4 linked regions of the Notamacropus eugenii genome follow. The protein of the gene in region 1 purifies or fractionates together with the protein of each later gene. This does not show direct contact. Links are inferred from orthologs where the notes say so. Each region holds a gene or a part of one and is shown on either strand. Other genes may lie near its edges.

What was found.
Region 2: the proteins of WWOX (region 1) and VOPP1 purify together in Homo sapiens (affinity purification with mass spectrometry; 3 studies listed by BioGRID and IntAct, with this or other methods). This does not show direct contact. The link is inferred for Notamacropus eugenii from reciprocal best matches to the Homo sapiens genes WWOX and VOPP1.
Region 3: the proteins of WWOX (region 1) and DVL2 purify together in Homo sapiens (affinity purification with mass spectrometry; 4 studies listed by BioGRID and IntAct, counting the BioPlex papers as one, with this or other methods). This does not show direct contact. The link is inferred for Notamacropus eugenii from reciprocal best matches to the Homo sapiens genes WWOX and DVL2.
Region 4: the proteins of WWOX (region 1) and ERBB4 purify together in Homo sapiens (affinity purification with western blotting; 4 studies listed by BioGRID). This does not show direct contact. The link is inferred for Notamacropus eugenii from reciprocal best matches to the Homo sapiens genes WWOX and ERBB4.

The regions. Positions count from the first base shown.
Region 1 is NC_092872.1:678,302,732-678,309,747, reverse strand, and holds the start of WWOX (WW domain-containing oxidoreductase), read left to right. Parts: upstream 1-4,007; 5' UTR 4,008-5,114; coding exon 5,115-5,221; intron 5,222-7,016. UniProt on the Homo sapiens protein: Putative oxidoreductase. Acts as a tumor suppressor and plays a role in apoptosis. Required for normal bone development. May function synergistically with p53/TP53 to control genotoxic stress-induced cell death.
Region 2 is NC_092874.1:420,883,278-420,890,642, reverse strand, and holds the start of VOPP1 (WW domain binding protein VOPP1), read left to right. Parts: upstream 1-4,347; 5' UTR 4,348-4,878; coding exon 4,879-4,935; intron 4,936-7,365. UniProt on the Homo sapiens protein: Increases the transcriptional activity of NFKB1 by facilitating its nuclear translocation, DNA-binding and associated apoptotic response, when overexpressed. May sequester WWOX in lysosomal vesicles and thereby regulate WWOX role as tumor suppressor.
Region 3 is NC_092873.1:78,832,400-78,839,557, forward strand, and holds the start of DVL2 (segment polarity protein dishevelled homolog DVL-2), read left to right. Parts: upstream 1-4,153; 5' UTR 4,154-4,257; coding exon 4,258-4,454; intron 4,455-5,883; coding exon 5,884-5,953; intron 5,954-6,323; coding exon 6,324-6,469; intron 6,470-6,612; coding exon 6,613-6,722; intron 6,723-6,909; coding exon 6,910-7,045; intron 7,046-7,158. Other genes in the region: PHF23 (PHD finger protein 23), read left to right, coding at 464-495, 658-750, 1,666-2,509, 2,683-2,897.
Region 4 is NC_092877.1:310,178,211-310,186,113, reverse strand, and holds the start of ERBB4 (receptor tyrosine-protein kinase erbB-4), read left to right. Parts: upstream 1-4,903; 5' UTR 4,904-5,686; coding exon 5,687-5,768; intron 5,769-7,903. UniProt on the Homo sapiens protein: Tyrosine-protein kinase that plays an essential role as cell surface receptor for neuregulins and EGF family members and regulates development of the heart, the central nervous system and the mammary gland, gene transcription, cell proliferation, differentiation, migration and apoptosis.

The sequences.
Region 1 (7,016 bases):
TTATCACAACCAGGTTATTGAGGACTATTGTTTCTTACTCTCCATTGTCTACTCTGTTCCATTGATACATATATATATATACATACATATATATATTTTAACTAGTACTACATCGGTTTGATGACTGCTGCTTTATAATACAGGTTGAGGTCTAGAAGTTTGATTCCCCCTTAATATCACCCTCTTTTCATCATTTCCCTGGATATTTCATATCTTTTGTTTTCACAAACAAATTTGTTTATCAAAGTTCTAAAAAAATTATCATCTTGGCAATCCACTTGGTATAGCATTAAAATGTAAATTAACTTTGATAGTATTGTCATTTTTATTATATTGGCATTGCCTAGTCATAAGCCATAAATATTCCACTAGCTGTTTAAGCTGGTTTTTCTTATTTTAAGTAGACTTTCTATTTGAAGCTCTACAAATCTTTTATGTGCTTTGGTAGGTTTATTCCCAGATATTTTATGCATTTTGTAGTTATTCAAGATGGAATTTCCCTTTCTATTACTGCTTCTTCTGTCTTGCTATTATTATGTAGAAATGCTATTGATTTTTGAGGATTTATTTTCCCAATTACATTAAATGCTTTTAGTATTAATTTTTTAAAAATTTGACTTCTAAATTCTCTCCCTCCCTTCTGCCCTTTCCCTACCCCTGGAGAAGGTAAGGAATTTGATAACAATTATACCTGTGAAGTCATGAAAACCATATTTTGATATCACTTATGTTGCAAAAGAAACACACAAAACCCCCAAGAAAAATCAAATAAAAAAGTATGCTTCAATCTATACTTACAGTTCATCGGTTTTCTCTCTGGTAGAGCATAGCACATTTCTTCATCGGTTCTTTGTAACTGCTTTGGATCATTTGTTTTTATCAGAGTAGCTGAGTCTTTCACAATTGATCACCATAACAATATTGTGTTACTGTGTACAATGTTCTCTTGGTTCTGCTTACTTCATTTTGCCTCAGTTAAATACCACTTTTCAGGGTTTTTTTGAAGCCATTCTGCTGGTCATTTCTTATAGCACAATAAACGTTTTCTCATAATCATATACCACAACTTATTTAGCCATTCTCCAATTGATGGGCATCCCCTCAATTTCCACTTCTTTGCCCTCACAAAAGGAGCTGATATAAATATTTTCATGTGAACAGGTCCTTTTCCTTTTCTGCTGAAGCTATTGTCTCAGTATCTTTTTTTGGATTTTCCAAGTATAACATCATAACATTAGTAAATTGGGATCATTTTATCTCCTCATTATCTATCTTTGTCTTTAATTTTTTCTTGTCTTTTTTTGCTTTGCTAGCATTTCTAGCACTATATCAAATAATAGTGGAAAAAGTGAGTATCTTTGCTTCCCTCCCTTATTTTTTGAAAAAGGTTCTAATGTATCTCCATTGCATCTGATAATCATTTAATATCAATTTAATAACCTCAATAAGGGCCAGAGTCTGAATTTATCAACCAGAAGAAGATTTTGGACCTGACAACCTCTTTGTTTTCTGAAGTAAACTCAGAAACTACCTTTTCCTATGTCAACAAGGCCAGATGGGGCTGACTTAAGAGCATTTTCCTCTGCTTAAGGATGAGACCCTTAATCTGAGACACTATCTTGAAAAATGGGACTTTTTCTGTATCTTAATATTTTGTGGACATATACTATGTTATGGCATGTTAATAGTAAAAAAACCACAGATATCCTGGGTCATAATTTCAATTGATGTTTTGTCAACTCTTTTATCTTATTGTATTTACCACCTATTCAATTAAGAAAATTCCTTTCTCATAATTTGGTTAATCATATATGGGGATTGTTCTAAAATGTGTTTAAGCCTAGTCATTCTTATTCCAGACAGTCAGAACTTATGTTTTGGCTCCCTGAAGCATGTATCTGCTAACTTTAAGGGAATAAACAATATGAATTTACATATCATCTAGCTTGTTTGCCTCTTTAACCAAACTTTCAGGTTGACACATATTATGCTTGCTTTTGGTTTTAGGTAGATGCTTTTTATGATTTAAAAAAAAATCCCTCATTGCCTATGCTTTGTAGGCTTTTTAGCATAAAAGAGAGATGTGCATTGTTAAAGATGCTTTTAAGATGTGCTTTTTTCTGCATCTATTAAGATGATCATGTGATATTGGATGTTTTGTTTTTGATACAATTATGTTTATTGTTTTCTTAATGTTAAATATTTCATTCTTGCATCCCTGGTATAATTCCCATTTGATCATAATGAATGATTTCTTGGATACATTGTTATAGTCTGTTTGATAGAATTTGGTCGAAATTTTTGGGTCAATATTCTTTAATGATGTTGACTTATAGTTTTCCTGCTTTAGGAATTAGGATTAAGTTTTCTCATAAAAGGATTCTGGTAGATTTTTTTTCTCTTTCAATTTTCAGAATAATTTGCCTAGTTTGAGTATTAATTGTTCTTTAAAGTTTTAATAGAATTCTGAGTATCAGAACCAAGAATTTTTTTTGCTTTTCTCTTTATAGCTACATTTGTTTCCTTTTCTAAAATTAAGTTATTTAACATCTGTATCTGGTTTTCTGATAGTATGCACATTTTATATGTTCAAAGGCATTCCTCTCTTTCTTTTGTTTCCAGTTTTGTTAGCATATAGCTGTGTATGATATGCTCAGATCATTCTTTTTTTTGTGAGATTTCTTTTTTTGTGTTTTTGAGATTTATACATATATTTATGTGTCCATATATATGTATATATACATATTCAAAGCATCAGTTTTTAGTTCTATTTACTGTTTCTATGGGTTTTTTGTTTCTAATTTATTTCTCCTGTAATTTTTAATATCTCCTCTTTTGTGCACATTTCAGCTTATTTATTTGTTGGCTTTTCAATTTTAAAAAATACATATTAAGTGTATTATTTTTTCTTTTTCTATTTAGTTAATATATATTTGTAGAATGAGATCTTCCCCTTCCCGTTAGGATTGCTTTAGCTATATCACTGAAATTTTGTTATGTTATTTCATTATATTTTCTTTATAATTATAATTAATTACAATTAATAAAATAATTATAAAAAATAATATTTCTTATAATTTCTTTAATAATTATTGTTTTTATGATTTGTTCTTTGATCCATGCATTATTTAGGATTTCAACGTTAGGTTTCCTTTTGAGTCTGTCTTCTGTAAATGTTTTCCCACTTGGCTTATCTGCTTATTTATCATCTTCCTAGTCCAAAGACCTTTAGTACTTGCAGTCTCTCCTCCCTCCAACTCTCATTTATTTTCCTTATCATTCTTCAGTTCCTTCTCCTCCAATTGTGATTTCTTCCGGGGCTGGATCTCAAAGCAGATTAGTCTCTTTCCACCTGGGGCAAATCACAGTTCACCAGCCTATGTCTATGCCCTTAGTTTTAGGTGGGCAGAACTGACCCCATTCAGATGCAATCTCTTTCAGGCTTAGTGGAGTACTACACAGAGTTTCCTCCCACATTCAAAGCTTCTTATAATGGGATGCTGTCCCTCTCCTGTTCCTTAGGTCTGTGGCCCAGCACTAGCTGTAGTGCTACAGGGTTGGTTTCCGCAGTTTGTGTCTCCTAGACTCTGGGACCATGGGCTTGCGAGTTTGAGCTGTTTTTCAAGGTCAGTCACACGTCCTACCCCTCCTGCAGAGATCTTTCCTAGTACTGTTGCTGGACTGTTGAGGACCCAGCATGCTTCTGCCTCTGGAGCAACGCTGTGGTTCTGGTCTTCTGCCCTTTCCAGAACAAATTTTTGCATCCTAGAGCCGTTATCCTCAAGGCTCTGGAAAGAGGGAGTCCCAGAACTTCTTGATGCCAGGACCTTTCCTCTGGGATTACTTTCAGGATGACCTTTGTATGCCCACAGTTCGCAAGATCTCTTGCTAAAATGTGAGCTCCTTAAATTCTGGGGCTGGTTACCTTTTTTTCCTTTTCTTTGTACCTGGTACATAGCTAGGGCTTAATAAACGTTTGCTGACTGTTTGAGTTGAATGTGTAGAAAACACTTTATCTTTCTGCATTCCTTAACATACTATATAAATATGAGTTGCCATTCTGAGTACCAAAAGAGGGTCTCTTCCTTGAAGTCTGCAGGATGGGGTGGGGTGAGGCAAAGAGGGCACTGGGGCACAGTGGACATGTGTGAGTGAAGGGCGAGGTTTCCTAGTTAACACTTATTTTTCTTGTAAATTGGGCAACTTCATTTCCCTTTTTGAACTTGTTTTCTCATCTTTTCAGTGAATTCATTCAGCAGCATAAATGGTAAGTGTTTAACAATTAGCTCTGGGGAAAAATGTACTCACAACGCACTTTTTAAGTTTAATCTGCATTATTAACACATTTTATTAATTTATATTAAATTTAATTAAAATTATTTTTTCGAGTCTGGACAGTCAACAAGCTAAATCAGGCTCTGATACGCAGCTTCTGCCGATCTCCAAAGTATAAAGGGTTCATAGTATACTGCTGAAGAGTAGGTTGTAAAAGGCTTCCCCACAGCAGGCTCCGCATGCCTGGACTCTAAAGAACTGGTGAGTTTGGGGGAGGAAGTGGGAAGCCTGAGGCAGCCTCCAGCGTCCCTTCGGGGTGCGCCCGGAACTACATTTCCCAGCAGGCGCTTCGCGCCAGGCGTGCAGCAACGCGCCAGGACCGCGCTATCGTGGTGACGTATTCGTTCTAATTCCTCCTCTGCGAGAATAGCTTCTAGTTGTAGCCCTCAGGAGTTTTAGCCAGGTAGAAGAGGGGAGAGTGGAATGGGGCAAATAAAATCTCCTTTGTAATTCCGTATGGTTACTGTCCTTCTTTCGCCGCTCTCTCCTCCTCCGGCCTCTTCCTGACTCGCCGCCCCCCACAGCCCGACGTCGCTCCGCTGGGCCCGGACCGGAGGCGCAGCGCTGCGCATGCCCACTGGCCGCGAAGCGGGTGGACCGGCTCCGAGGGAAGCCGGGAGATCGGAGCGCGGGAGCGCAGGAGGGTGAGGGGAGCGGCGGGTGGCGCGCCGGCGAGCAGAGCCGAGCGGAGCCGAGCGGAGCCGAGCCAGCGTCGTGCGGGGGGTTTGCCCGCTGGTGTTCCAGTGCCCGGGCGAGGCGGCGCTGCGCTCTCCCCCACCATGGCTGCGTTGCGCTACGCGGGTCTGGACGACACTGACAGTGAGGACGAGCTGCCCCCGGGCTGGGAGGAGAGGACCACCAAGGACGGCTGGGTGTACTTCGCCAAGTAAGGGGCTGGCGGGGCCGGGCTGCCGCCCCCGCCCGACCTCAGCCCTCCGGTCCTCGCGCCGCACCGTCCGCCTGCCCCTGCAGACCCACCCTCCCCGTCTGTCCCGGCCCCGCTCCGCCTCTCCCCCTCCCCGGACGCCGGTGCCCCTGGGCCCACGCGTGCCGCGGGAGCCCCTGCCCCCCGCGCACTGACGCTCTCTCCCCCTCCCACCTTTACACAGCCCTGCGCGCGGGAGCCCAGGAGCCCCTCGTGCCCATGCCTGCGCGGCTGCTCTTACGTTGGCTCAGATGTGCCCAGACACCTGTGCGCAGGCACCGGTGCACTTACCTTCACTCAGATGTACACTTGTGCACAGGTACCCATGCACTTACATTCACTCAGATGTGCGCATACCTGTGCGCAGGCACCCGTGCACTTACATTCACTCCAGTGTACACACACTTGTGCCCAGGCACCGGTGCACTTACATGCACTCAGATGTGCGCATACCTGTGCGCAGGCACCCATGCACTTACATTCACTCAGATGTACACTTGTGCACAGGTACCCATGCACTTACATTCACTCAGATGTGCGCATACCTGTGCGCAGGCACCCGTGCACTTACATTCACTCAGATGTACACACACTTGTGCCCAGGCACCTGTGCACTTACATTCACTCCAGTGTACACACACCTGTGCGCAGGCACCCGTGCACTTACATTCACTCAGATGTACACACACTTGTGCCCAGGCACCTGTGCACTTACATTCACTCCAGTGTACACACATCTGTACGCAGGCACCTGTGCACTTACTTTCACTCAGATGTACACTTGTGCACAGGCACCCATGCACTTACATTCACTCAGATGTACACACACCTGTGCCCAGACACCCGTGCACTTACATTCACTCAGATGTACACTTGTGACCAGGCACCTGTGCACTTACATTCACTCACATGTACACTTGTGCACAGACACCCATACACTTAACATTCACTCAGATGTGCACACACCTGTGCCCAGACACCCGTGCACTTACATTCACTCAGATATACACACACTTGTGACCAGGCACCCGTGCACTTACAGTCACTCAGATGTGCACACACCTGTGTGTGCACTTGCGCGCACTTGTGGACCTACCTCTGCAGCTGCTCTTACAGGCACACACATACTTAAGGCATAGCACAAAGTCCTCTCCAAGTCTGTGATTTGGTAATACAGCTTACACCGTCTCTGTCACTGATACATTCTCATTCAGGGCTCACCTACAGAAACTTCCTCCCTTCCCCTGTAAATACAGACTTAGACACAACTCTATGTGATGTGCATTCTCACAGCTGTCATATTCCTTCACCCTGAAATTAATTCACGTTTCTATCCCACTTTGATAAATTGTCTAATTTGAGCCTCCCAACAATTCTGCGGAGCTGAGACTGCAAGCATTTATTATTCTCATTTTAGTGATGAGGAAACTGAGGTATAGAGTAGTTAAGTGACTTGTCCGGGGTCACTCAGCTAGTAAGTGTCTGAGGCCATACTTGAACTCGGGCCCACTGCTCTATGCACTTTGTGTAAAACTCTTGGAAGAGATACAAAGATCATTTAGAAGTGGCCTTAAAGGAGTGTATGAGGCCAGCCAAAGTGTCACACACATTGTCATACTGTCACATAACACCATAGAATCATACAACCATTAGGAGAGAAGGATCTAATCCAACCCCCTTTTTTAGCACAGAGAGAGGAAATGACTTCCCCAAGGTCACATGGTTAGAAAATGGCAGAGCTAAGACTCTTAAGTCA
Region 2 (7,365 bases), on another chromosome or scaffold:
AGATCTGCATTCATAAAAGGAAAGCAACTTTCAACGGGTTAACAATCACTTTAATCAAGCACAGGAATCAGAGAAAATCAAAATTTCAGAGAAAATACAGAGAAATCAAAAGTCAACAGACATGCTTCCAAAATGTCTGACCATTACATGCTTACATGACCAAAGAGGGAAGCATCAACTTCTGGGTTATAGCAGTGGTTGGGGGTGGGGTGGTAGTGTCCTTAGCAGCCTCCCAGAGTCTCTCTGGCCAAAGAAACACTTCCACTCAGTAAGCTCCAGAGTAAAACCTCATTCCGAGTATTTATACACTTTTTAGAGTCAGAGGGCGTAACCCCAAGTGCCTCAACAGAAAAAAAACCCCAAAAGGTATTTGGGACCAACCTACAAAACAACTCCCCTAATCAAGCTTCCCGCAATGGACAGGCCCATCAAAGGGTGGGAAAGATCCTCCTTACCATTATTCAATCATTGGCACTTTTAATAAAATAAAAACAGCAAAAGATCCCATTTTACTTGCCATTACAGACTTAAAAGTCAAAAGAAATCTGGGTTCAAATACTGTTATGGAAAAATCACTTCACCTCCCCAAGTCTCAGTTTCCTCATCTGTAAAGTGGGGACAATACACCTGTAGCACCTACCTCACAGCATTATGAGGACCCAAAGGGATCATTTAGATAAACCACTTTGAAAACTTTAAGGCGCTAAATAAAGAGCAGGTTCTGTTATTTAACTTACATCATGAAGTTGGTAAATCGCAAAATACATCTTTCAGAAAACTTGAGAATATAAAAAAATGGAGGCTATAGAAAATGCCAAGGATGGTTAATTGAAATTACAGTAATTATGTGACTAGCAAAAGAAACCCAGATAATTTATGCAAATTTCAATGTGTTGGCAAGTGACTTATGGCAGCAATAGGTGACTAAATTTGCCTATAAGGAACCTTTGGGATTGCTTAGAAAGTTGAGTGGGAGGGATGGGACAGGTGGAGAATGCAGCAGTCTGCCAAATCAGACTGTGCAAGCCAGGGAATTCTTCCTTGAATTCTCTCCCCTTGCTTTTGGATATGCCCAAGTTTCCTCCATCTTAACAACAAAACAAAACAAAGCAAGCCTTGCTTAATGTTTCTGCTTCCTTCAGTTACTGTATGTATTATTTCTTTCCCTTCTTTTTCTGATGAACTCCACACTTCAATTCCTCCTTAAGCCCTGGTAAACTGGGTTTTTAAAACAGATTTATTGAGTGAACCAACCAACTTTTTGCCAAATCTACTGATCTATTTTTAGGCTTTTGTCTCCGTGACTCCCCTGCAGTATCTAATACTATGTGGTATATGAAGTGCGCTGGAAATAACAATGAATTTGGATTTAAAAGACCTAGGTTGGAAAGTTAGCTCTGTTACTACTTCTACGACCTTGAGCAAGTAGTTTAATGTTCTGGGCCTCAGTTTTTTTCATCAAGCTTCCCGCAATGGACAGGCCCATCAATGGGTGGGAAAGATCCTCCTTACCATTATTCAATCATTGGCACTTTTAATAAAATAAAAACAGCAAAAGATCCCATAATCCTTAAGAGATCTTCTAGCTCTAAATACTAGGATAACTCCCTTCTTCTCTAAACCCTTTCTTCCTTAAGATTCTGTTTCCCTAAATCATCCAAGTCTAATCACTTTTCCATCAGTTTCTCTTTTCTATCCTATCTCCTACCATCTCTTCTGACCGACGTCTTCAGAAAGCATGGTCTCTAATCTTCAATCTCTCCCTATCTATTAGCATATTCCCAGCTGCCTACAAATACCTGAAGTTATCTCCCAGTCTTTAAAAAACCTTCATCTGACTCTACCATCCCTTCAAGCTATCTTCCTTTATCTCTTCTCTTTCACCAAATTCTTTCTTGTTACCATTTTCTCTCCCCCCATTCACTTGTCAACTCCATCTCCTAACTTACTTATTGAGGATAGCACTATTTCCTTATTTAAAAATTGTTCCATTTAATAAAAATGTGTTATAAAATGTAGGTTCTGAAAAAAAAAGTCATAAATCCTTCAAGAAGCAGATTTAAAGTGAGCCAGATATTTATTGAAGTGATTAAAGGAAAACCTAAAGGTACTTAAAAAAAACTGACTTTTATACAAACTTGAACTTTTATACAAACTTGAACACAGTTAATAAGTGTCTGAGGCCATACTGGAACTCAGGAAGATGAATCTTCTTGACTCCGGCCTGGCACTTCATTCACTTCTTCTAGCTGCTTAATTGATGGTGCCTAACTGCATGGCACACTTAGTAACAAACAGCCTTCCAACTCAAACTCATAAATAGACATAACCATAAAATGACAGCACACGTCATATTGTTGCTAGCACCACCATTCTCCCAGTTACCTGGGTCTGCATTTTTTGCATCATTTTGCTAACTGGCTTTAGGATCACAGATTATAGAATTTGGAATGGAAAGAGAACAGAGATAAGTTATTCTTGTCTATGGTCTTTCCTCCAATCCACTCTGCCTCCTGCTACCCAGACAATCTCCCTAAAACTTCTTTTTCTTCATGCCACCCTCTTGAACATATACCAGTTCTTTAATTTCTCTGGGCAGCTGCCTGGCACAGTAGATAGAGCACTGGGCCTAGACTCTGGAAGACTCATCCTCCAGAGTTCAAATCTGGCTTCAGACATTTAGTAGCTGTGTGACCCTGGGCAAGTCACTTCACCTTGTTTCCTCAGTTTCCTCATCTGTAAAATGAGCTGGAGGAGGAAATGACCAACCACTCTATTTTGCCTAGAAAACACTCAAATGGGGTGACAAAGAGTTGGACATAACTGAAATGACTCAACAACAACAAAAATGCCTCTGACATAAAATCTAAACTCAAGACTGTTCTCAGTCTAACTCTACGCCCTACCTGTCCAACCTTTCTTTAACTACTCCTCAAAACTCTTTGCTCTGGCCAGATACAATTTGACCCTGCCTACAAACGTGCTGCCTTGTTTCATAGCCCTTGGTCACGCTATTTCCACAGCCATTTCAATCCAACACCAATCCAACTTTTAGATCTCAATTAAAGCCTCTTTTCTTTTAGGAGGCCTGAGGCTTCTAGTCTCCAAAGTTATATAGCCAACACTTATCTGCACTCTGTTTGCCCTATCACTCAGCTCTCACAGTCTTTTAGTTTTTTCTTTTCATGCTTTCTTATTTCTTTCAGTTTGATTGCAAGGAGCTGGAGGCGAGATTTCTCCCTTATCTGCCTTGGATCTTTGCTATGGAATCCAGTGATGAAAGACTGAAATTTGTGGTTCCCAAATCCTCAAAGTCTGACCTGGCAAGCAACACGACCAATGCCTTAGGAATCATTGGATCACATATCCAGAACTGGGAGGAACCTCCTTAGTGATCCCGTCCAACTCACTCACATTTAGGGATGAACTAAGACCCTGGGGGTTTTAGTGACTTTCCTAATGTTACATTGTAAATGGTGGCATCTTAATCTGAACCTATGTCTTCGGACTACAAACCCAGTAGCCTTTGCACTGTATTGTATTACCAGGCGCATAAACAGCACGCTATGTTTCCAAAAACCTTACTCCAATGAGAGCTATGGATTCCAATATCTAAATCGGAGAAAAGGAATATTTGTGTCCTCAGGGACAGCTCCCATATGAACTACACACCTGTCCATCTCCATACTCCTAATATCTGCTTTTGTTTTCTTTCTTCTGCTGCATTCGCCCCATTCACCGGTGGGGTCTCGAGATATGTGTATTCCGTCGCTCACAACAGGAGGAAAGGTGGGGGGAGAGGTCGGGAAGTATGACCTCCCCGGTATAACCAAGAGAGGAGTGATGCTGAGGAATCCTTGCCGCTCCCTATTCCATCTGCCTCCTCGGTTCATTTCGTTCTTGCGCTGGGAGGGGGGTTCTCCTGCCCTCCTGAGGCCCACTCTTCCTGGCACTTGAGGGGGCTGCTTTACCCATCCATTGGCTCACCTACCCGGCCCTTCTCCAAGTAGTTCCCGCCATCTCCCTTCCGGGACCTTCCCCCTCTTGTCTCCCCCAGCTCGGGCCTCCTTCACCTTGGCCCTGGCCGTCTGGAGATTCCGCCGGTCCCCTCCAACCTTCCCTGTCCCCAGGTCCGGGGCGCAGAGTGCGCTCGGTGCGCAGGGTGCTCGGTGAGGGAGACGGCCTCCCCGTACCCCATCCCAGCCTCGCCCCGGGAGGGAGTGTCTGGGTAGCCCCGAGCTCTCCGAGCACGGCATGCCCACGGTGCGGGCTCCGGCCTCGCGCGCTCGGGGCGCGCCCACATTTGCCTCCGCTGTCCATCGTGCCAGCCGGCTCCCCGGCTTCAGCTCGCGGGAGGGGGGAGAAAGAGCGAGCGGGCCGGCTCTCCGCCTCCTCCCTGCACTGTGCACGCCCACTGCGTGTGTGTGTGTGTGTGTGCGTGTGTGTGTGTGTGTGTGTGTGTGTGTGTGTGTGCAAGAGCCAGCGCACGCACAGACACACACACACACACACACACACACACACACACACACACACACACACACACACACACACACACACACACACACACACACACGCACGCGCGCTCGCGGGGCGGGGAAGCCTGGCTCTGCCAGGAGAGCGGAGCCGCGTCGGTCACTCCCAGGACTTCGCTCCGTTCCCCGGCTCTCCTTGGGCTCCGGCTCCCGAGGGCGGCGCGCCCGGAGGCACGCAGGCGGCTCCCAGGCTTGCTCCCACCCACCGTCCCTCCCCTCCGGGGACAGGATGAGGGGGCTCGTTCCGCGGACTGCTCGCCAGCGTTTCTGAAGCCGGAGGAGGACCAGGGGGAGAGCCGCACGCCCTTTCTCTGCCCGCCGGGACCGGAGCGGAGAAGGAGCCATGAAGCCGGCTCCGTGGAGGATCCTCCTCTCGCTGCTGCTGTGGCTCCTGCTGGAGGTAGGCACTGGGGACCGGGGCTGCCCGATCACCTTCGCAGATGTGTCCTGGAAACGCAAACAATAACCCAGAAAGGAGCGGTGGCGTGGCAAGTTCGGGGACCGGCTGCCTGCCTCGCGATCGCCCGGGACAAGCCCACCTCGAGGACACCGGGGCGTTGGTTTGGAAACCGGGGCTCACCGGAGGCACCGATATCTAGATGCACAAATGCCAGCCGCTGAATAGCCTAGCTTAGAGTCACTGCTGAGACACCCTGGAAAGGGGGTCTGCCGTGCCTGACCCTTTCCCCGACTCCTCTCTCCTCCCTTGTAGCCAGCTACCTCTTGGCTGGACATGCTGCTTTATTTGGGTTTGTCCTCTCCAGTGCGGAGGAATCAGGAACCTTTTGGAAAGGAAAATCTGTCTGGAGGTAGCCTGGAAATGAGTATGTTGAGCTGGGAAGGTGGATAGGGAAAGGCCTTATCTTACCTAGGGACTGTAGGGGAAGAACTACTATCTCCCCAGAGGCATCCTGGGGAGCAAATCTGTGGATAAGGTTATTAGGAAGTCCTCCTATTGAAAGTGACGTGCCCTGAATTTCGTTTGGTCTCGGTGCGGTCGGTTCACCTTGGGCTCCTGTGGAGCAGGTGTACAGTTAGAGAATTTCAGAGGGATTCTGCTAACCTATCTCCGACGAAAGTAAGAGGGGAAAACTCCCCCCCACTAAGCAACCCTGCATACTTCTTAAAAAGGAGAGCTGCCAGTTTGAGAACGTGGCCAGAAACCGGCACAGAAATAGAAGAAAGGCTTGTTGCTGTGTGGAAATTGACTCACTTAAGTAGTGAACATATTGAGCCACGTTCCCTTTCTTGGAACGGATTGAGGTTGTAAGCTTCCTAGCTAAATCTGATAAGGCCTGCGCACAGATTGAGGTTAGGGCTGGCTTGGAAGTTGGATCCCTGTTTGGACACCTGCCCATTTGTTGATGGAGTGTGTTCTCTAAAGTGGGCAGGAGCCAGAACGCGGTGGGGATGGAGTGGCTGAATTAACTTTGTTCTCGGCATCAGTCATTTCAGATGAAGCAATAGTTAACATCTAAACTCAAACAGGATGGGAAAGGAGGGGCACCCTAACTCTTACTGTATTCTGAACGGTAAAGCCCTTGGGGAAGATTGTGGAAACTTTCCTTCTTTTTGCGAGGGTCTGAGTTCGTTCTGCAAAGGACTAGTTTTTCCCCTCCTTTCTCCCTCATAAAATAATAATATTTTTGTATTTTGAGAGCAAATCTTAGTTCTCATAAAAAGACTAGTCCATCTGGTTTAAACCAGGCAGGTTGCCATAAAAGTTTCTCCCACAAAGCTCTGACAATATGCTCCTACTTCGTTCTTATCAAAGACTTCCCTGTTTTGTTTTGTTTTGGGTAGAAAAATGCCTTCCTGGTGTATTTTTTTTAATCTGTGTGTGTGTGTGTGTGTGTGCGCGCGCGTGCGCACGCACGCCTGAGTGCATGCTTAGTGTTGTCTGGTTGTTTAAGATTTGAAAACCTAGAAAGCTTATAGCTTCAGTGAATTTACAGGTGACTTTAACCAAGAAGAAAAAGGAGACGCAATTGTTTACATGAAACTTTATTGTATGTATGTGTTAATGCATCCATGCATATGTTGCATTTTAGGCCTTGGGTGAATTAATCTAGCATTATTTTTACTTTGAGTCTACCCATTAGCTCCTTCCAAGGGAAGTTATACCACTACTACCACAGTCTTTCTTATCAGGAATACAGTACTTTTGCAAAGTATTTTTATTGGTGGGAAATACACCAGAGCCGTCTCTGAAAGGAATGATAGAACTAGCTCTAGGGCAAAGCAGTACAATGATAGTACCCTCCAAATAAGAAAGGCTGGCAAACAAAACCCAACATCTGGTTCTTTGGGAACTTCTGGAAGATTGAATTTTTGGCCCTATCCTGGATGATGGTGGATTGTTGTGTTGACAGCTTGTAATTGATGGTAATACAAACTCCTCAGCTTGGCATTTAAAGTCCTTCACAATCTGGCTCCTCTTTACCTTTCCAGACTTATTTTCTATCACTCCCCTTCATGTACTCTGTGTTCCAGCCAAACTGCACAGCTAATTGTTGACTCCTGTCTTCTGACCCTAGGCCTTAGTGTTGCCTGCCCTTAGAGTCTAGAATGCGCCTCTCTCCTCATTCTTAGAATTTCTAGCTTCCTTTAAGACTCTGCTCAGGTGCTGGGTCATAATGGAAGCCTTTCTAGATTTCCCCTTAGAGGATGTTGATCTTTGTTTTCCTGAAGTGTTCTCATAGACACATATCTGCTTCCATATTGTGTCCCTTAGTAGAATGGAAGACCTTTGAGGTTAGGGACTTAAAAACAGTGTAAAGTAACAGTCTTTATCCTGGAATCCCCAGTACCTAGTGGCATATTTTGCAAA
Region 3 (7,158 bases), on another chromosome or scaffold:
AAAGCCAGATTAAACCTGAGAACTTTGAGGAGTGGGAACAAGGGATTCTGCATGAACTGGCCAGAAAAGAGAATCCAGAGACTAGAGTGGTGGGGCACAGGACCTGATGGTGTGTGGGAGTGTCCCAACCAAAGGGATTGGGAATGGGAGCCCAGAATAAAGGGCAAAGGAGGAGCCAGGGGCCCTTGGGACCACGAAGGGTAACAGTGGAAAGAAGTAGAGTAGAACCTGGAGAAACATCAACATGGGAGGGCACATGTAAACCATTGCACTCTGAGAAGACTGGGCACTGGAACAAGGAAGATTAGCTAGGAAGAAAGTGGGAGCACAATCACTCATGCCTCCTGTGGGAAGGGAGGGAGGAAAGAGAGGTGGGGGGTCCTTCAAGAGTAACAACGTTTGGGGAAAGAAGCATGTACATTTTTCCAGTACCTTGACTCAGGGCTTTTATTGATTTTTTCAGATCTTCCTCCAAACCTGAAGCCAGAGGCCCAGGTGAGATTTCCCTTCCTACTTCAACCCAAACTTTCTTTAGGGAACCAGACATGTAAGATTCCCCCAGATCTCTACTCCTTCTACCTCTTTTCAGGGGAACTTTGCTTTTGGACCACTGTTCCCTTTGAAAATCCAGGTGTCTGATTCCTTCTTTTTCTGTAGCCCCCTGAAAAACGAAGGCGAACAATTGAGGATTTCAACAAATTTTGCAGTTTTGTCTTGGCATATGCCGGCTACATTCCCTCCAGCAAAGAGGTAGGGGCAATGATCTTAAGGATGGGATGTGAAGGATTTGGGTGAGGGCAAAGGGAGGGAAGGCTATTGTATAAGATTTAGGGAGATTGAAGGGGTAAAGGGGAGTTTAAGGGTAGTTATGGAAATAAATCTAGAAGGTCTATGAAGAAAAAAATGTGGTTTTTTTTTTCGCGTTGGGCGATGTGATAGGATGGAGAATCAAAGGATATCAAAAATGGAGAAGTTATGGGGGTTCAAGAGAATTAGAATTAATGGAGATAAAGTTAATGTAGGCAGTTGCAGGAGGAAGGGACAAGTTAGGGAACTAGGACAATTGGGGAATGATGGTTTTGTTTGTTATTTTGGGTGTGCCAGAAAAGTTTTTGAGAGTCTTGGGGGCACTCTTGGGATCTTGTGGAGGTAAGGTTGAAGATATCTGTGGTTGCATTTAGTGTCATGAGGCCTTGGCTCAAATCCTGTCCAAGATAATTGCTATCGATGATCATAAGCATCTATAAAATCGGGATGACACTTAAACTGTCTGCTTGACAAGGTTGTAAGGAAGTCCATTTGCAAACCTTAAAAGTTCTGTGTACTGTCTGGTTATTATTATTAGAATTACGGTTAGGATAATAGATCATGGGGGGGAGATATGGGTTCTAGTGACAAAAGACACTTCATGGAGATGTTTGGAGACTGCTTAGTTTAGGGGCTGAATTGTTGGCATTTATAGGGAGGTAGGTGGGTTGGTTAGATAATCTGAATTGGTTGGGCTTGGAGAAGTTAACTGTGTGCAAGAGACCCAGGGTATTAGATGACTGCTGTAGTACCCGGTTGTGGTTAAGTCTGATGTGTCTTGCAAGTGTGGGAAATGGAGTTGGAATTTTGTTGAAAGGGGGCACCAACACTTAACCCTCCCTTCCCACCCACCCCTAGGAAAGTGACTGGCCAGCCTCTGGCTCTAGTTCACCATTTCGGGGAGAGAGTGCTGCAGATAGTGATGGCTGGGATTCAGCCCCTTCAGACCTTCGAACCATCCAGACTTTTGTCAAAAAGGCTAAATCTTCTAAGAGGAGGGCTGCTCAAGCAGGTCCCCCTCCACCAGGGCCCACCTTCCCTCGACTGCAGGCCTCTGACAATGCTACACTGCTTGAGAAGATGAAGCTTAAGGACTCTCTCTTTGATCTGGATGGACCCAAAGTGGCACCCCCTCTGGTCCCCGCACCCCCAACACATGTCCCTCGGCCCCCTACTACCCTCACCCCTGTCATTGCTTCCCAGGAGGATCTCCCTCAACCCTCCCGAAAAAAGGACCGAAAGAACCGAAAATTGGGGCCAGGAGGGGGAGGAAGCTTTGGAGTGCTTCGGAGACCTCGATCAGCTCCTGCAGATGGTGAGAAGAGGTCAAGAATAAAGAAGAGTAAGAAACGAAAGTTGAAAAAGCCGGAAAGGGGGGATCGACCCCCCCCTTCTGGGCCCCCTCGGGCTCTTCCCAGTGACACAGACTCTGAAGAAGAGGAAGAGGAGGAGGAGGAGGAGGAAGATGAAATGGTAGCAGTGACAACAGCAGTAGCAGGCAGTTGTGGGGGTGAGGCCCCAGCTTCTGCACTCCCTCCACCCCCTGAGGCTCCCCGGCCCTTCACCTCAACCCCCCCAGGAGGAATCCCTGCTGAGAGTGAAGCCAAGGAAGTGGGGAGCACAGAGACAAGCCAGGATGGGGATGGGAGCTCCAGTGAGGGTGAAATGCGGGTAATGGATGAGGACATCATGGTAGAATCAGGTAAGAAGGGTGTTTGAGGGAAGTACTCTGGGGAGTAGGGGTGGGAAGACAGAAGAACATACACTTTTGTCCCTGAAGGGAGTGGGTTCTTTGGGATGGAGGGGGGAATGCTTGAAATTCTCTAGACTGTGAGTCTTCAGCAGAAATCTGATCACAACCATCCCTTCTCTCAGGTGATGACTCATGGGACTTGATCACCTGTTATTGCCAGAAGCCCTTTGCAGGGAGGCCCATGATTGAGTGCAGTTTGTGTGGAACATGGATCCATCTTTCATGTGCTAAGATTAAGAAGACCAATGTCCCTGACATATTTTACTGCCAGAAGTGCAAGGAGTTGCGGCCAGAGGCCCGGCGGTCTGGTGGTCTCTCCAAGCCTGGAGAGCCCTAGGACCCATCCAAACTTTTCTTACTTCAAGTCGGAACTCTTCACAGACATCATCAACTGAGACGGGGTCCCAATGTTGCCACTGATCCATTGGGATTTGAACACTGTCCCATGATGGGGTGGGGATTCTCAAGGAAGGCTTACTTGGGAATGAATGGGTCTTTCCCTAAAGACTTTAGGACTTGAATTTTGACCCATTGAACAGGAAGATGCCCCTGTTCCTAAGATTCCCTACTTCATCCCTTCACTGTTCTGCCAGTTGACCCTGCTCACTCCCATATCCACCAGCCCAGACTTAGGGCTGGAATCAGGGTGGGGTGAGGCAGTTGTCTATACCTCTAGTGTAATATAGCATTGCCCACCCCTTTCTTCTGTCATTTGTTTGGACCCTTGCCTTTTATTTTCTCAAACCTCTTCCCCCATTTCTTTCCTTCTGAAAACCTTTTGGCTCAGGTGGCCTAAAGGAACGTAACACATGGGTCTCTTGTCTTTTGTGGGGGACAGGTGATATTTCCATCATCTCCCCACTTCTTTGTTTTAATAATATTGGCCAGCTGCTTGTACATACCGCGTGTTTGTAAATAAAACAGTGGGCTCTTTTGTGTTTATAGCCCTGTGACCCTTGTCCTTTCCTTCTTGGAAGATATGTATCTGATGGAGAAAAGGAGGGAAAGCAAGGCTAAGCGATCGTGTTCTTCCCCCCAAAATGCTGAGGTCTAGCCCGTGTCCAGCCCTCTAAGGTCTCCTGGTTTAGACACTCGAACGTAAGCCTTTGGACCATAAGTGAGAAAGTTCCCAGTAGCCGGCTCCGAGTGAGTGTCTGTTCTTCGGGGCTGGGGGGCATGGTGAGGATGTGTGGGGACAGAGGTGTAAGAAGAGGGCTGGTCTGTGAAGGAAGGTGTTTTCTTGGTCCCCGGACGATGGTGAGAGCTGGAGGTAATTTTAGGGGCGGGCCCCGGCTGGGGATTGGGAGAGGGAAGATGAGGGAAGAGTGAGGGGGTGGGAGTTTTCGGGGGAAGGGACGGCAGCACCGTGGGTGGGCAGAGGCTGGGGAGTCCTCACGTGACCGAGGGGAGCTGAGGAGCCGGAAGTGAGGCGTACCGTGTCACGTGAGGGGGCGGCAGTGGGAAGTGTGTGGCGTGGGGCTGGGTGGGAGGGAGGGGACGCCGGGAGGGCGTCCACTTCGGAGGTGTAAGCGGGCCGGGCTCCGCCCCCTCCCCCTCCCCTAGCCTGCCCGGGATGGCTGGCTGGGCTGAGCGGCCGTGTGCGCAGGCGCGGCGGCCGCGGCGGCTGGGCCGGGGCTGGTGGGAGCGGGGAGAGGAGAGGGGAGCTCGGAGGCGGGGAGGGCGACGCGGGCCAGACCATGGCGGGCAGCGGCGCCGCTGGGCTCGGCGGGGCCGGCGAGACCAAGGTGATCTACCATCTGGACGAGGAGGAGACGCCGTACCTGGTCAAGATCCCGGTCCCGGCCGAGCGCATCACCCTGGGAGACTTTAAGAGCGTCCTGCAGCGCCCCGCCGGGGCCAAGTACTACTTCAAGTCAATGGACCAGGACTTCGGGTGAGCGCGGGGCGCGGGGCCCAGGGCCCGGCCGCGGCCGGGAGGCGTGGCGGGGCCCGGGGCCGCAGCCCTGGGCGTGGATGCCGCTCGGGAGGCCGGGGGGAGAAGTAGAAGGCTTCGTGCCGCTTTGGACCGTCGGAAAATCAGACCGAACCTTATTTTGCAGATGTGGAAACTGAGGCACTGAGAGGTTAAGTGGCTTTGCCCAGTTACACAGATAGTCAATGTCAGAGCCAGAATTAGAACCCAGGTCTCTAGACGTGCAGTCAGGCTCTTCCCACTGACTTCTGGGTGACGAGGTTGGCACTGCTTTTGTCACACTTAAAACAAAAAGTGATAAATGAAGGTAAGCCATCCTTCTGATGACGAGGATAGTGCTGGGGACTGAGTGTGCTGGGCCGTGTCTCCTCGTCCTGACGGAGAGAATCCTGGGCTGTTAGTGAGGTGCCCCGAAAGGCCAGTGGTGGAGGGTGTGCAGTTAGGGGACAAAGTCAGTGTGATCTCCTGGAGGAGGTGTGGATCAAAGAGACCTACAGAGGGAAGGAAGACTAGGAAATTTGGGCATTGCAGGATTGGTGGGTCTGTCTCTTTGCATTCTATGAAATCTTGCGCTGGGGAAAGGAAAAAGGGAGAGTTGTCATTCCTTTGAAGTTTGGGGTGGAATGGGGAGGGTAGTTTCCACCCTGATGGGAGAGACACAGCCCTCACCCTTGGCCAGTCTGATAGAGTGCTCACCTAGACGCATGCAGAAATCCAGGTGCAGATGGTATATATTTGGGAGGATTTCTAGACATGGATCAGAGGGAAGGGGAAAGAAAAACATTCACTGACTGGACAGAGCTTCAGACAGGAGTGCTGGTAGGTAATAGTGGAATGAAAGCTGGGGGTAAATGAGATCAGTCAAGACTCCCATTGGAACAGAATTAGGAAATTAGGAAGAGTTGTAGATTTGGGAAGTAAGGGGGACACATCTCTGCAAAGACTTGATGTCTGGAGAAGGTAAAGCAGGGGCAAAAGAAAGGGGGACCATGTTTACCCAACTGGGGTAGAGAGACCTTAAGGTTAGACAAATAGTTTAAGGAGATTGGGTGAGCTTGGGGGGGTTACTCTTGAAAGTTAAGCTAAGAAGTTTCAAGTAAACGCAAGAAACATTTAAAACTCCTGCCAGGTTCTTAGGTTGAAAAGAAAAGGAAAAGGAAGTAAGTAGGAAGAATTACTAGGTAGGGGGATTCCTAGAGGGAGATGAGGAGTTGGGCTGTTATTAACTTGAGGGAGTGAGGAGGGGAAATGCTAACTGTCTTTAAAAGACCCCCCCTAATGCCCCACATTAGGAGGGGCTCAAAAAGAAGGCTGAAATGTTCAAAGGCAGAACCTTTGAAACAGCCTTATTTCATCTAGCACTGTTGACTTTGTTCTCATCTCCTTGCAGCGTGGTGAAGGAAGAGATTTCAGATGACAATGCCCGATTGCCTTGCTTCAATGGGAGAGTGGTCTCTTGGGTAAGGTGGCTTGAGGGGAATGAGGGGACCCTCATTCTTCCACATTAGCATCCCCACCAGTTTCCTTAAAAGGAACGCCTCCTCACCACTCTGCTCTTGCCCCTGCCTCGCTTTCAGATTTTTCCTATTCCCTTCCCTCAGAACAACTTTTCAGTCTCATAAACCCCAGTTTACCATTCTATGTGACTCTCAAGATTCTTTTCTTTGAGTTTCTAGGTTTTGTTTTTCTATCTTGGGTCCCCTTCCAGGTTCTCCTTATCATCTCCATCTTCTTCTCCCTCCCTCCTAGAATCATTTCCCCACCGGAACTTTTACCCTGTTCTTACCTTTCCTAAAAGTCCTTTTTCATCCCTGTTCCCCACCTCTGTAGCTTGTGTCCTCAGATAACCCACAGCCAGAGAATGCTCCCCCAGCCCCTGAACCTCGGGCAGAACCCTCATCTCCACCCCCACCACTGCCTCCCCTCCCTCCTGAAAGGACTAGCGGCATTGGGGACTCAAGGCCTCCATCCTTCCAGTGAGTACTGGGGAGCCTTGTTGGTGATGGGAGGGAGAGAAAAGATCAGCTTCTAGTTAGATTCTGGGGCTGGCTGATCATCATTGCTTTTAGGAGGAATCCCATCATCATTACCTTTTTCCCTGACCCCATTCCTTTTCTAGCCCTAATGTATCGAGCAGCCGAGAGAACCTGGAACCTGAGACAGAAACCGAGTCAGTAATATCACTGAGACGGGAGCGGTCCAGGAGAAGAGAGAGCATTGATCATGTTGGTAAGGGCAGTCACACTCCTAAATTCTGAGAAAAGGAGGCATGGTTTGTGCAGTATGCACATTCTGGGTCCAAAAGGAGATAGGAGCAGTGAAAGATGGGCAGGGGAGAACCAGGGACATAGGGTGCTAGACTTTGGATCTCCCTGGAGCAGAAGTCCAGCCACCTATATCCATACATCTTACTAAGGTGGGGGCCATCGGCCTAGTGGTTCTTCCCGCCTGGAGCGACACCTGGCTGGCTATGAGAGCTCCTCTACTCTACTAACTAGTGAACTGGAGAACACCAGCCTGGGAGATTCAGATGAGGATGATACCATGAGCAGGTATGTCTTATATCTCCCTTTCCATTCTGTCCCCACACTCCTTACTCCCCTCCTCACCTGAAGCTGATGTGATTCCTCTTTCTGCTTACCTTAGATCTCTGTTTTTCTTTGCC
Region 4 (7,903 bases), on another chromosome or scaffold:
CCTTCTCACTACTCTTGTGACTGCCATGTTACTTCAGGTCTTCATCCCCTGTTGGCTGGACTATTGCAGTAGTCTCCTAATTGATTTTTTTCCCTTCATTCTCTTCCCAAAACACAGAGCTGCCAAAGACATTTTTTTAAGCCTAGATCTGACCATGTTACTTCCTTTTCAATAAATTCTAGTGGCTCCTTATTGTCCCTTGGTAATAAACTCCTCTGTTTGTGACTTAAAGACTTTTATAACTATGCCCCAAACTACCTTTCTGTTTCTATTATATATCACTCTCCACTTACTTGGGGGTCCAGAATGAGGATAGAGTGCCAGTCCTGGAGTCAGGAAGATTCCTCTTCCTGAATTCAAATCTGGCCTCAGACACTTACAAGCTGTATGACCCTGGGCAAGTCACTTGGCCCTGTTTGCTTCAGTTTTCTCATCTGTAAAATGAGCTGGAGAAGGAAATGGCAAACCATTCCAGCATCTTTGCAAGAAAACCCCAAATGCGGTCACACAGTCAGACATGACTGTAACAACTCAACAACAACCAAAATAAATAATTATTTCTGGATAAATTTTTAAATTAATTTTTTCAATTGTCAAAAATGTCTTTTTTTTTCCTCTCCTACCACCATCCCCACTTGGAAAAAGATAAAAATAAAACCTTTGTAACAAGTAAGCATAATGAAAAAATTCCCATATAGGCCATGTCCAAAAACATGTATCTCACTCTACATATTTTTAGTCCATCTCTTTTCTGTAAGGAGGTAGGATGCATTTTTCATCATCCATTTTCTGAAAGCAAGAGTGATCATTGTGGTGATCAGAGGTTTTAAGTATTGTTTGATTTTACAATGTTAATGAAATGATATAAATTATTTTCTTGGTTCTGCTTGCTTCACTCTGCACCTGATGACTCTTTTTAATGAATAGCTATGATCATATCACTCCCCTACTAAAAATTTTAATGGCTACCCAGTACCTAAAAAATAAAGCTCTAACTCTTTATCCTGGCATCCAAGACCCCCCTCCCCTTTGTCTGAATCCAATTTACTTCTCCTGCCATATCATTTACCACTCCCTTTCCCATAATCTATTCTCTAGCTAAATTGGATTTTTCAGCTTGTGTCCTGTGTTTTCAAGCTATCGTTCCATGACCCCCACTATCTCCTAACTTGGAATGTTTTCCCTTCCATTTTTGCCTATTGACATTTTACCAACACTTCAAAGTCCAGTTTAAATGTCACTTTCTCCAAGAGTCCTTTCCTGATACCCTACCATGTAGGTAGAACTTCTTCTACTGGTATCTCTTAGAGCATTTTGAATCTCTTTTATATTTTATCTGTCTCTACTTTGTATTGTATTTATTTGAGTATAACATACACACATATACGTACATGTATACATATATGTATATGTCTTATCATTTCCTATTATGTTATAAATTTCTTAGGGTTAGGGGTTTTGTCTTATTCATCTTTGAATCTCTTTTAACCCAGGCACAGTGACTTACATGTGGTACACACTTAATATGGGAGACGGAAATGGCAAACCACTTCAATATCCTTGCCAAGAAAATCCCACAGATAATATGGTCCACCAGGTCATGGAGAGCTGTACTTGACTGAATGACTGAAAAACAACAATGCACTCAATACATTTCAATGAACAAATGAATCTAGTACAAAGTCATCTCTGAGGATTATCACTTAGGTTAGGAGAAACAGGAAAACTTGAGAACAGTCATGTCTGATACATGACATCAGAGAGGAAGAAACAACTTGGGAAAGGATTATTGGGTCATTTTTCTCTCCACTTTCTCCTCACCAAGACATGAGTACCAATTTCACCTTCCTCCAGTAGGGGGAGGGTTTTGTCCCCAGTTTCCATCACCACGAACTTCAGGGCTGGAAAGTGACCTGCATGAACTCTGCCTTGCTTTTCTTCTATATCACCCCAAGACCATTGTACCTATGTACACAGGAAGATGGACAAGATTTTTAATCAGCAAATAAGAACTGAACATCTATATGTTATGGCTGCTCTAGAGTCTTCAAAAGAAGTAAAAAATGTATAGGATATAGTTTGTACTACTCAGAAATTTCCAAACTGGAGAGTAGGAATCAGAATAAAACTGAAATGATTAGATAACAATACAGGACTGAATATAATTAAAGGCTAATGTAGTACAGATTGTAAAGCTTAAAGACCCAGTCTACGTGAGCTAGTGTGGTGTAATAAGAATAATAAAAAACGGAGACAACAAGTAGCATTTCTGTAGTGCTTTTAAGATTTGCAAAGTGAAAAGCATGTCAGTTCTTCTGAAGTCCACAAAAACCCTGTGAGGTAGGTACTATTATTATCCCCATTTACAGGTGAGGAAACTGAGACCCAGAGAGGTTCAGCACCTTGCCCCAAAAGAATCCTGCACTTAGCATTAGATGTCTTGACTTTGGGACTCTTTGTGTTACTGTGGAAAAGTCAATTAACCTCCCTGAATCTCAGTTTCCTCATTTTTTAAAAAAGAGAATGATAATATTTTCTTAAGATGTTGTGATGAAAGTGTTTTATAATCTTCAAAGAACTATAGAAACAAGCAATTTTTTTGAGGCAGCTGTGGTATGCTAGAAGAGCATCAAATTCTGGATTCACAAATGGTTTCGAATCCCAGCCCTGCTACCCACAAGCCCCATCTACTTGAACAAGTCACATATCTTGGCAGAACCTTGGTTTCATCTGTAAAATCAGGGTGACAGTGACTGCACTAATATCTCATTGGGCTGCAGTGAGGTTCAAAACTTGACTTTGTAAGGCATAAATAAATCACTATGGGAATGTGACTTGATATTGTTACTTATTATTATTCATCAAAAGAGGAAAGAATGTTGGAAGAGAAGAAAGTAGCTGAAAAAAAAAAAAAGAAGAGAGGGGCAGACAAAAATTGGAACAAAAATGACAGCCGAAAAGGCAGCTTACACAGTCCCATTGCAATCAGTGCCTCTGATTGCTCCTATCTAATATCCAGTCTGAGAGGTTGCTTTACCTGTGCCGGTTTACCAGGGTCCCTTTCATCTCTCTCAAGCTGTATTCATTTAAAGTCCTGGGGATCGGAGGTTGACTCAGAAACTAACAGTAGCAGCAGCAACAACAACACAACAACACAGCAATCCCCCTTCCAAAGTACTGCCACTTGTACACGCAAGGCAGTAAAATCTTCCAGCTCTATAAAGGGTCTCTGGGGTATTTATTCCATATTTATTTGACCCAAGCCTCTGCTGATGTTCTTAAGTGACAAAGCCTAGGAAAGAAAGGGGAAGTACTTCAGGTGAAATAAGAAACGGAGTTGGCAGGGGGGGGGGGGGGGCATGGTGGTGTTGACTCCAGCAGTTCTTGCTTCTCGCTGCTGTTACTTTCAAGGAAAACCAACAGTGAAAATATTTTTATCTCAGGGATAATTGTACAAATATCACCATATCACCTTTCAAACTTGAGAGTCAGGTTGACCCAGCTCATGTGGGGTCAAGTACTGGCCACTGATTGAATTCACTACCACAATAAATAAAGGACCCTTGAGGAATTAGGTTGATCCTGGAGTGGACCTTGGTAGTTAGTTTATTTCCAAGATGGGCTTCTTGTGCAAATGGATCTTTTGGATGAGTCATTGGATATGTGTGAGACTCAATTCTGTATTGACCAAATTACTTGAAGACATGAGTGATGTAGGCTGACTACCATTTGGGATTGAAAGGCACTCTCTGGACTTGAAATCACACTCTGGATTACCTTCAAATTGGCATAGCGAGCCACGGAAAGTGGATCTATAAAGTTAAAAGATTCATAAAATTTCAGGGCTGGCCCAGTTCCCTCATTTTATAGACCAGGAGGTCAAAACTAAGAGTAGCTAAGTGACTTATCCAAGGTCATAAAGTTATCTAATGGCCAAGCCAGGAGATAACTCCATTTTTCTTTTTTTGCCTGAAAAATACCCTTCCCATTCTGCCATAGTTATTTCCCTAGTTGGAGTAGATGAGATCTTCTCACTGTCCCAGAATAATTTCCTTGAATTGGCTGCATTTATGCCTCTATCTCAGTTCTTCAGCCAGAACTCAATGTGGAAAAGTTTCTAGGGGCGGAGGCCTGCTCTCTGGGAGTGTGAAGGATAAAAGGATGATGACTGGATATTAGCAAGTGATACCTGGCATTGTTCTCTTGGATTGTGGTCAGAGCTATGGTTCTAGCTCACAGCTTGCTCCTTTCCGGAGCCTCGGAGCCATGGTTAAATGATAGAGAAGGACTCGCCAGTGTGAGAGGAGGAGGATTTTTTCCCTTTCTTGTAAGCAAGACTTTTTTATTCTGCCAAGACTCCTTTCTCTTGGTCTCACCTCTTTGGAAAGAGGGCTATGTGTGCTAGCCCTTGAATTATTATTATTTTTGAGCGGAGTGAAGTTGAGGAAGGGGGAGACACAACTTATTTTTTTTTCCTTCTGAGAATCCCTTTTTGCAGTCTGCTTTTGAGCTTTGGCCTTGTTTCTCTTTCTGGGGAAGAGGGAGAGGCAAGGCAGCGTCCCTTCAGACCACCATGGGGGCAATCGGGGCCTTTTCCCCATCTAAGCACCCCCTCTGGGCATACTGCCCAGCACTGCCTGCCAGCTGTCCTGGGACTCTGGCTGGGGCGGGGGGGGGCGACGGGGGGGTGGAGAAGCGGGGGGCGGGAAGAGGAGTGTCTTAACCTCACAGTTGGCACTAGCCCTTTAAGACCAGCTCCCCTCCCCCGCCCACGCCACCCCTTTCATTCTCCTGACAGGTGTTCTCCCAACTCTGGAGGCTCAGGATTTTGGGGAGTGGCTGAGCCAATGAGATTTTAGATTTGGGGAGGGGGGGTGGAATGGGAGAAGGGGTGTGGCTAGCTGGGTCAGAGCAGAGGCGGGGTTTAAGCCACCAAGCTGTGTCTGTCTCTCAGTCCCTCGTTCCGTGGAGGGTTTTCCTTTCTCACAACGCCCCCCCCTCCCATACTCCCCTCTCCCCAATCCCGCTTCCATTTTTTTTTTTTTTTTTGGAGTCTTGCTAATTTCTCCAAGCTGCTGTTACCGCTGCGGCCGCTGCCTCTGCGAAAGAAGGGGGAGCGCTGGAATCGACGCTCGGAGGCTTTAACTCCTACAGCCGCTGGACAAGTCTGAGGAGCCCGGAGCGGGGGTGAGGAGGGGACGGCCGGAGCCGTGGGAGACGCCAGGGGCTCTCCTCCAGCCTCCCCCGACTCACACCGGGGGTGTGCACAGGGAGCACCAAAGGAGGAGAGAGCAGTGCTTGCAAGAGAGCGAAAAGCAGGAAATCTACCACCTTGGTGAGAGCAACTTTTTTTCTTCTCTCTTTTTATTGTTGACCAACCCGAAGGAGCGAGTGCAAGACAGAGGACGATCACTGGGGGAAATCTACTCACAGTTGGACCTCAACTGGGACCGGCAGCAGCGCTGACACACAACACGCGCACCCTCATTCACCTCCATTCCTGGAATAGCCGGCGCGCACAGATACACACACACACACACACACACACACACAAATACACTGTGCACCTCTCTTTCTCTCTTCCCAGTACCCACTCTCGCCCATCCACATCCATCTGAGGGATACAATAAGGGGATATGCGATTTGGACATGTAATTGTCGGCAAAGGATTTGAGACTTCCAAAAAATGAAGCTGGCTTCGAGACTGTGGGTCTGTGTGAGCCTTCTCGTGGTAGCCTGGACCCCCCAGCCCGGAGCTTCTCAGTCAGGTGGGTCGCAGTCTCTGCTTTCTATCGCTCTCCCTCCAGCTGTGGAACCTGCTGCTGTCTGGATGATTTGTGTTTGTGGTCTCCCCTCCCTCCCACTTCCCGCCTCTATTGATAGATCGTTTCCAGTCTCGGAGAAGCTGATCCGAATTTGTTTCATCGCCGCCCCCTGCATCATTTCCACCTCCAACTTGCTTGGTTTTGCTCTCCTTCTAGTGCGTGCGTGGAAATCACTATGTAACCCCTTTCTCCTCCGTCTCTCTCCCTCACCTCCCCCCCCCCCCACCCCAGTCTCTTCTTTTTCGCTCTGTGGGTTAGCAGAAGGCTTAGTTCTTTCAGCCTGCTTGTCTAAGACGTAGAAGACGCACACGGAAAATCCCAATCAGCGCAGACAATTCCCCTTTTTTTCCACCTCTCCTGCCTCTCCACCCCTCCGTCCCCGAAAGAAAAGAGACGGAGTAAATAGGACTTTTTGGCTGTTCCGCGGCGCGAAAAAGAAAAAGGATCGATCATTGCCTTGCTCCTTCTGTGGAGCTCCTGGCCTTTTGATTCCAAAGCGCCTCATGTGTCTATGTCCGTGTGCGCTTTTGTACCTGCGTGGGGGAGAGAAGCAGGAATAGGGCTCTGACACAAGTCACCCGAGTGTTGACATAGCCAAGATTTCAGACATAGTCCGGAGACAGTCACAGCATACAGCTGCTACCAGAAAAGCATCGTTTTCTTAACACCACCCGCTTTCCTGTTTTGACCAGAAGCTGATCTCTTAAAACTCACAATCCATCTAGATCCCTTTTCTTTAACAGCCCCCGGTAGGGTCGAGAGAGTGTCTGGTAGAGGGTCTAGCAGCCAAAGGGCTTGGCAAACTTTATTCACGAGAATAACAGCCGCACTCTGTGAGGTTAGACGCCCATCAGAGTTCCTCCTGCTAGTGTCTACTATTGGCCAGGGTCCCTCAAACTTCCCTGTTAGAATTGGGGCTGGTCGGATAGCTCGCCCATCACTTGATCCTTTCTAATCCGAGGCGAATCGGGCACCACGGTGCGCTAGCTGTTGGCTGGGCTGCTTAGCCTCAGGTAGCAGGACGCACGAATGTAACTGAACAGAAAAGGAGGAGGGGTCGGGGGAGAGCTTAGTGGCAGGGTCTTTGACAGGACGTGTCGTGCGAGTGAGCTAAAAGTTTCTGACACTTGAGCTTCCCAGATGATAGGAATGGGAACGAGGAGATGGCTGATCAGGGGACTGAGTGTAGCCAAAAGGAAAGAGAGATGTCTGAGATGGCCAGAGGGTGCCATTTGGACAGCCGGTGCTGTTTCCTGATCTGGCAGCAAGTGATCACACCAGAGATACTTGATGTAGCGTGGGAGGCTGGCTGACAAGATAAAGCTTCAGGGGTAGGAAGAAGGGGAGGGGTTAAGGAGAATGCTTTAGGGACGCCTATGGTGTCCTTGTGACCTTAAGCAGAAAAGACGCCGCTTAGTTTTCTTACTCCCTACGCCAGCTATCTCTCCTCCCTCTCCTCTCCACTCCAGCCTTCTCCTTCCCTCTTCTTCAAGCAAACACCCAGTTATCATCACTGGGGCTTTAAAAATGATACTAGAATTCCTGGTCTTTGCCTTTTATATGCTGTGTTAAGTACTGCCAAAGCCTGCCTTCAGATCAGCCTCGGAATCACCCCAGTGCGGCTTGCAGATTTCAAGGCAGCCTCCTGGCCACTGGCCTTTCGTCTTCGTCCCACGATCCTCTCCATATTTTCCTCAATGAGTTGATTATGCAGGTTGACCCATTCAAAAGCACTTGAGGCTGACATATATGCTTAGCTGATAGGAATTTCTATGAGGCAGCCTAGTGGGGGTTTGTCTGGTTCAGCCTCAGCCATGGGGACCGCCTCGGAGTCTACAGCAATTTGGTATTAAGTGTGCGGCTCAGGGGTTGAGCTCTTCCTCAAAGCTCTTTTCAGAATTTCTGTAAGGAATGTAATCCAAATTAGTTCTGCAGCTGTCCTCTTCCTCATCGCAGTGCACAGCACTTCTACTCCCCCCCCCCCCCCCCCCCCCAGCCTTTGGCGAATTGTCATAACCCAAAGTGAGTTCTTTCTGGAGTGTGAGGCTTTGAGTCCCATTGTTATTCGGGCGGTGACT